Kluyveromyces lactis: one gene and its partners. Each later gene encodes a partner of the first gene's protein in a complex. Links are inferred from orthologs where the notes say so. Each region holds a gene or a part of one and is shown on either strand. Other genes may lie near its edges.

The links. The genes of interacting proteins can lie anywhere in the genome.
Region 2: MGE1 (region 1) and PAM17 share a complex: the UniProt entries of both Saccharomyces cerevisiae proteins name them as parts of the PAM complex. The link is inferred for Kluyveromyces lactis from reciprocal best matches to the Saccharomyces cerevisiae genes MGE1 and PAM17.
Region 3: MGE1 (region 1) and PAM16 share a complex: the UniProt entries of both Saccharomyces cerevisiae proteins name them as parts of the PAM complex. The link is inferred for Kluyveromyces lactis from reciprocal best matches to the Saccharomyces cerevisiae genes MGE1 and PAM16.

The regions. Positions count from the first base shown.
Region 1 is NC_006040.1:623,735-626,466, reverse strand, and holds MGE1 (mitochondrial nucleotide exchange factor MGE1), read right to left. Parts: upstream 1,361-2,732; coding exon 629-1,360; downstream 1-628. Other genes in the region: mitogen-activated protein kinase kinase MKK1, read right to left, coding at 1,718-2,732. UniProt on the Saccharomyces cerevisiae protein: Essential component of the PAM complex, a complex required for the translocation of transit peptide-containing proteins from the inner membrane into the mitochondrial matrix in an ATP-dependent manner.
Region 2 is NC_006037.1:561,625-564,183, forward strand, and holds PAM17 (Pam17p), read right to left. Parts: upstream 1,107-2,559; coding exon 516-1,106; downstream 1-515. Other genes in the region: SYP1 (Syp1p), read left to right, coding at 1,523-2,443; KLLA0_A06127g (uncharacterized protein), read right to left, coding at 2,464-2,559. UniProt on the Saccharomyces cerevisiae protein: Component of the PAM complex, a complex required for the translocation of transit peptide-containing proteins from the inner membrane into the mitochondrial matrix in an ATP-dependent manner.
Region 3 is NC_006042.1:1,282,723-1,285,212, reverse strand, and holds PAM16 (import motor complex subunit PAM16), read right to left. Parts: upstream 936-2,490; coding exon 516-935; downstream 1-515. Other genes in the region: transcription factor HAP4, read left to right, coding at 1,966-2,490. UniProt on the Saccharomyces cerevisiae protein: Essential component of the PAM complex, a complex required for the translocation of transit peptide-containing proteins from the inner membrane into the mitochondrial matrix in an ATP-dependent manner.

The DNA of each region.
Region 1 (2,732 bases):
TACTGTATACCCCTTGAATCTTCTGGGGAAGGGGAGTTTGACAGTTCTCTTATTGTTTTCTTTTCATTACATGTAGACTTAGGCGTAGAGCCAGAATGTAAACAGTAGATACTGATATGTCTTCCTCTGAGGATTTGAGGGCTCATATAGATACCGTTTTGGGTGGAGTGGCTGATGGAAGATTGAGTTCAGAGTATACTAAAGATGTAGAGCCTGCAGGGGTTGGATGTTCTTACTTATGCGTTTCGTTCATGCTCTCGGACGTACCTTAACGGATGACAGACCGTTTTAATAAGAGAAAGAAAGGTCCTTTCATTTTGGATCATGGTAGAGAATTCATATACATATGTGCAAGTTTATTTACATGGGAATTAAGTAGGGTCATTGTGGCGAGACCATTATGACCGTTATGAGGGAACATAAAAGTCAAACCTGCTGCGAACAAAAAGAGATGTTTTCCGTTCAAAAGCTGATCGATGTTATCATGCAGAATGAAAGAAAAATGGAGTGAGGAGGGGAAAAAAAGTTAGAAGGTTCATAAAACAAGCATTATCGTAAATTATAAGTCATGGTAAGGTCATTTGAAGTAGATCGATTTTGGGTTCGGGGTTCTTTATTGAGAGATTTTCTAATTTTCATTGTCCTTAACAATACCGACCTTAGCTGGTCTGATAACTCTGTCGTTCAAAGTGTAACCAATTTGTTGAACGTGGAAAACGGTACCTGGTTCCTTGTCTGGTTGAGGCAATTCGAAAGTAGCTTCGTGCTTATTTGGATCAAAAGATTCGCCAATTGGATTTAGTTGTTCAATACCGTGCTTCTTCAAAGTCTTTTCGAAAACGTCCCTGGTCATCTTGACACCGGTATATAGATCAGAAAGCTCTTGAGATTGTTCCAGAGTTTCTGGTTTGAAAGCGTTCAAAGCATGGCCAAAGTTGTCGACGGATTCCAACAAGTCCTTGGCGAATTTTTGCAAAGCGAAATCCTTGGCCTTTTGGATATCCTTCTTGGTAACTTCTTGCAAATTTCTGAAATCAGCAACTGATCTCAACAAACGGTCCTTAAATTCAGAGGCTTCCTTAGTCTTGGCATCCAACTTGGTTTCCAAATCTTTAATCTTTTTTTGCTCTTCAGTCAAATTTGCGTCTTCTTCAGCTGCAGCTGCATCGTTCTCATCCTTAGGTTCTTCCTTCTTGGCTTCATCAGCATAGAATCTAACACCGGAAAACCTAGCAGAAAACTGGTTGGAGGTTGCAGCACTAGATCTCAAAGTGCTAGATACAAATGGCACAGTAGTAGATCTGAAACCGATTGGAACAGTTCTGGTAACGCTTCTCAAGAATCTGGTTGATGGTCTCATATTTTATTGTATTCTGTTAGTAAATATTCTCTGGTCGACTTGAGTCTCACTATTAACAGTGGTTATTTAGCAAAACAAAGTGAGTTCAAATCCAACTGAGTGTCAATAAGAGGTAGTGACAGTTGGTATGTAAGATGTATTGGGTTGTTTTACTAATTCTTTCTTCTTAAATGTCTTCTTATATACGGTTCTTTCTCTCTTTCATGATCATTTTTTCAATTCAAACCAAACTCTATGAAAAAATTGAAACTTGATCCGATTTATGTTGTGGAACACGTGACATGCAGCCATTTGAGAAATGATTTATCTATACATGTTCCTGCATGTTCTATCTAGTGGGCCAGTAGGGGCTAGCAATCAATCCGCCCAACAAGTTTGAATAAACTTCTTCATGTTAACGTGTTTCTTGGTTTGTCCCACCATCCAGGGGTGTTGTAGCATTTGTCTTGGAGATGGTCTATCCTTTGAATCTTTTTTCAGACTGTAATCAAGGAACGATTTGAAGGATTTGGACCATACTATGCCTTGTTCTGGTTCATCTTTCAATTCAGGTGTGAAAGTCAAGATAAGCATCAAAAGTTCTATAGGGGGCATGTTTGCTGCTAGTTTATCCGTATCAAATGGTGAGTGTCCCTGTGCAACTTCCAATAGTGTGAGACCCAAAGACCATACATCACTGGTAACACTGTATGGCTGGCCCTGTATCCTTTCTGGAGCCATGTAGTATGATGTTCCTGTAAACGTGGTGGCAAGAGAGTTCACTGCCTCTCCACTGACTCCAAAATCGCAGAGCTTTATTTGTCCTATTTCGTTGAACAATATGTTCTGTGGCTTAATATCTCTATGAATGATCTTTCTTTCGTGTAGATAAAATAGTCCTCTAAGTACGCTCTCAGCTATCTTCCCCAGAACCTTCTCACCAATTCGTCCCCCCTTAGAGAGAAGGTGCTTGTACACCGAATCTAGCGATCTTCCGCCCATATATTCCATCGCAATAAAAATTGTCGAGGTTTCTTCGCATGCAAACATCCCGTAATACCTCACTATGAAATCAGACTTACAACTCTTGTTGAATTGCAATTCTCTGAATATTTGTTTCTCTGAGCCATCATTCTCTATCGTGGCAATGGTCTTCAATGCAAATATTTTTGAACCGTTCCTTAACTTACATTTCGTGACCGATCCTCCAGTTCCTTCGCCCAATATTCCCAACGTATCAATTTGTTCATGGATCTTGTAAGTTTGCCATATATCTGACTCAAGTTCATCTGTGCTATCATCTCTATCGTGCTCTATAATTTCACTTTCTTTCCCATGGTTTACCAGGCTTGTGCTGCTGCTTGTTGTTGGTTCGCTATCGTACATGGATATT
Region 2 (2,559 bases), on another chromosome or scaffold:
GGCATCAAAACCGTCTCCGTCGCTTTCCAATTGACACATTCTGCTTTACCTTTGGGGGGGCCAAGAAAATTGCGATAGCCGTTTCCTTAAACCTTTAAACAGAGGTTTTCTACGCAGTTTTGTGCGAGTTGTAAGGGGCCTGGTCCGAAAATCAAAAATTTGTGGGTCCTCCAGAAAATCTTCACTGATTGCTTGGCGGCTATTGGGTGCGGGTAGAGCAGAAGTGGATTGCGAGTGACGGACACGGTTACCCGGAATATGCAGGTCTGTTAATGTTAACAGGCGCGAGTTCGAACCTCGCCGCATCCAAATATACTTTTTTTTGTTGGGTATCGATCCTTTTCATTCCGGTTTCTCTGGCATATACCATTACGCAATTGCTAATGCTGATTTAACGAATGTTTCTTTAGATATCAACCACTATTTATTATTTACTATTTACTTGTACTTACGGAAAGGCGTTTCCTTGGGTGGGAGAGTGATAGTCATCATACTTTTTCTGGTATTTTTCCGCTTCACAAGAACTCACTAGCCTTTCTTTTGTAAGAATGACAATCTCTTAGCCATTGTCTGTACTGTGGTATCGAATTAATCTTTTCACCGTAGTAATCCGGCACAGGGTTACTGAAAGATTGTGATTGAGGATTGACTCTGTTCTTTTGGATTTTGGCCAAAAATGAAAGTTGCTTCTCTTGAAACTGTAATAATTTGGGACCGGAAGTGGCCTTAAACAATGCAGTACCCACAATTGGTCCCAATAACCAACCAACAGCAGCACATGTGATCATACCAGCAGTAATTGCCATTAGTGGATCGAATCCAAAGATTGTTTGAGTTGGATCGATTTCCAAAGTGGAGAAGTAAAACCACGAACCGTTAACGAATACTATGGCTGTCGCAACCGAAGAAGCCGTGTTGAAAACACGTTCTTTTTTACGTAGCTTGAAGAATTCTGGCCATGTCATTTCATGAGAAGCTGTCTTACCAGCATTAGTGCTATTCATTCTGATGGCAACGGCATTGCGTGTAACGGCTCTTTTCAAAAGAGATTGTCCATTTAGTCCAACCAAAAGACGGTTCTGTAGATTGATTCCTAGTCTCAACATAGTTTGGGCTATTTTTCCGTGGTATTTGGTTCTTATTGCCTCTGATATCCGAGTATACTACTTATCGAGTAACACAGCAGAAGAATTGGCTGTTTGATGCTAGTTCAAACAGGTGATCTGGATCCACCCCTCGAACATTCCTTATTGAAATCATGTTATAAGCTCATTTGGTAGCTTTCCAAACTTTTTTTTGGAATTGACAAGCTTCAATATCCACGTCCGGGTAATGAAAGTACCGCTTTTTCCAATCTCTTGATCAAATGGTGTTATATCTCGAATAGATCTTCATTTGATACAGATATATGTTACGTCCGTTCATCATTGCATGATACTTTCACTATTCTAAAGCTGTCTATTATAGTTATAGGTTATATTGTTTGCCTTGCACGTCTCAAAAAGTAAGTCTTTCTGTTATAATGTCTGATGTTCTAGCTTTTGCAGAAATAGTGCAGGGCTATATTCAATCGCTAGAAGAACTCAAAGAGACAAAATTCGATAGTAATAGTGAATTGTTCTCTGAAGTGTCCCAGGAACTTGTCAGATCCAAGGAATTACTGCTACAGTTACAGGAGAGGGAGAATATACTGAAATTGAGAGAATCAGGACCAGATTCAGAGTCACCACCATTACCAGAGATTAATGGTGATATAGTAGAGACTTTGTCATGTGTTATCACAGACGATAATATAACGAACGTATCACTTGTTGGCGAAGTTGCCATCAATGGTACCAAGTGGGATCAAAGAACGAGTGATTTGTATATGAAATTCAATAATGTTAGTTCCGTTAAGATTAACGACACATTCCTGGAGCCAGTGGATGTGGTTCAGAATATATACAAATTGAAACGTGAACGCGAATGGGACAACGTGGTTACAGGATTAGTGAAATATGCAGTGACAAATTTACCACAGGTTCAATGTCCGATTCTAGTGACACCCGTATGGCAGTTCAAAGAGGCCGAGATCATCTCAATGATCAATTTAAGACCTTTAATTCCTGTCAATTATACACTATTGAAAGTTTGTATAAAGATAGGCACCAAGGCCCAAGATATTTTATCTAAACCTACTGGATTTTATAACCAAGTGGATGGTACCATCCAATGGGATCTGCCCATGCTGGAACAGGATCAGATTCTGATTTTGAGATATAAAGGTGGACAACGAACCGATGTTGTCACATCTCAAGCAATTGGGCCACCGCATGTTCGTATAGATTTTACCGCATCACAGCTGTTGACACAGGTTAACGTGGAATACGGATATTCACCAACCAGATTAACGGACCTGCCGTTAAACGTAATGACTATTTCTGGGAACTATAAGGCCCAGTGATTGTCAAGCGTTATCTTTACTCAGACTATAACCCTTGGCAATCTGTACTTTTCGTTTCTGGACGATTTAAAAGAGATCTCAGACGATGAGGAAGATGTCGAGACAGATGACACAGG
Region 3 (2,490 bases), on another chromosome or scaffold:
GAGAAGAGTGACTGTTACCATTTTTTAACCCATAGCTGAATGGATCCTGACTAGCCCCAAACAAGCTGGCCACAGTTTCCATTTCGTTTCCGGTTTCTTAGATCAATAAAGTTGGAAGCGCATTGAGTTGGGAGGGGAAGTCTCTTCCTTTTCCCGGTTTTTTGCATCACTTCTTTCTTTTAACCATTATGAAGAGGTCTGGAAAGTGATGATTAGAAGCGGTTTAACAGCTCGCTCTAGTTGTTCTTCCAGGTGTTGCATGTGATCCAGAGGGCTTTGCGTAATGGCTGCCTGAGAGTTTGGATTTTCACTCTCCGTTGTGCCCTTCTTCATGATGGAACAGTTTTCCCATCTTCTAGAGAATTTTTGTATTAATTAGTTGTAGACATAAATCAGCTTCATCAACCACTGATGATATTGTGCTGAACATGATACGATGAGCATGCGATGCGTGTATTTCGGTTTATTTGAACTATTTACAAAACTTATACTAGGCCAGAGAGAATGACCTTACGCTATTTTTTCAACTCCGGTGACTCCGTCGTGGAACTCGACTTCGCTTGTTCTTGATTCAGTTCTGGATTGGCAGCCTTTTCCTTTTCAGCAAGCTCGTACTTCAAACGCTCTGCTGCCCTGTAAATCTTACTCTGCAAGTAGAATGATCCACCTTTCTCTTTATCGTTGATCTCGAACAAATACTTGAATCTTTCGTTGATTTTATCCAAATTCATATCCTGTTCATTCTCAATGTTCAAAATCTTAGAACTCTCATCTAAAGTGATACCTCCGTATTCTGCGCTAGCACCACGGCCTCTAGAAGCATTTGCCGTTTGTTTAGCTGTTTGAGCTGCTGCTTGTCTGTAAGATTCCGCAAACGCACGTCCAAACACCTGTGCCCCGGTGAAAATCACCTGTATAAACGCTCTGTGTGCCATATCCTATAGTCTTGTTGTATTTCTTGGATATGCGCAGTTTACTCGAACTGGAACGGCGTTCTTAGACAAAGCTTAGAAGTTAATCCGATGAGTAGTTTAGTGTTTAATGCTGTTATTAGTTCCAGTTCTTTCTGTTCTCAACTTTTCGATGACTTTTCGAAAACAGAAGGGGTTACCCGGGGATGTCAAGACCAGCCCCACATATTTGCTGTGACACCGTCAAATAACTATATATCTGGTTGACAGCTATGCCTCATTAGAATGATTTAGCTAGTCTACAATGACTACAGATGGAGTTTGTAATTGCATTCGCTCATTCAGGCTTTTTATAGGGTATTTTTATGAGGTTTTAGCTTCTCATTCCACATTGTAGAATGTGGCATCGGAAACGACGCAGGTATCAAGAAATTAAACGATAGGTGATCCCAGCAACAGCAGCTACGCTGCTGTTGCATTGATTGGGGATGTGAATTCAGCATGCTAGTACTAGCGTAGTACTGTAACGGGGAGGAGGGGGGGGATCCAGTTTGGGAGCGTGGCTTTGTATCTGGGGTCATGGTCACGTGATCAATTATTAGCAACTCAACACCCAATCCCCATTTCAAACTTGAGATACCTCTTAGTACTCAGGCCATACTATCTTATGGCCTGAGATATATAAATTCATGATGGCTCGTCTTGATGTATCATGCCCTCATTTTTACCATTGTTCCCCCTCTCTCTCTCTCTCTCAATTTCGGTTTAAATTGAAAAGTTGAGTAGTTAATTCTACCGAAACAAACGACTTCTCCGAAACTAAAACAGGTTCTAACAGACACACAAGGACTCAACAAGCGTGATTCAATCGTATCGCAGGTGGTTCAAACTAATTTAGGTTGCATCTCGCCGTAAGGTTTTTGTATCCTACTTTCAAACGCATACTTCGCAACTCTGGTTACGGCTCCGGTTCCGAACCAGTTAATATTGTTTTCGCTGGTCCGGAGAGAATTCTATAATAAAAGCACTTCAGACACAGAGTAAGAATTAACTAATGTCCAGGCCAGTTTCATTGGAGCCCCTTCACGGACACACTGGGCCTCATCAGCAGATTACAATTGCTCCTAATTTACAGCCGAAGAAACATGAGAAACCCACTGGGATCACGATTCGAACGTCTAGGCACTGGGTTCTTCCACCGAGGCCTAAACCGGGTAGAAAACCCAGTCCTTCTTTATCGATAAAGCAGCAACTGGCAAATGTCAAGGGTATGGCTGTAGAGTCCACTACGCCTGCTTCTGCTTCAAGTACTAATGCCAAGATTAAACAAGAACCTGTGGAATCAGTGAAAGAAGTTGAGAATTTGAGACCGGGATCGAAAAAACACTTGGCTGCCACTGTTATTGATTCTGGTAAAAGTTGCTCTTCTTCTGATCAAGGTACAGTAGCGTCATCTACAACGACTGCAGTCCGTACAGGAGTGCCAACCGCAAGCTCCTCATCATCATCATCATCATCAACTATCCCGTTGACTAACTGTAAATCTACAAACGCCAAGTCAAAAGCAATACAAGTTGAA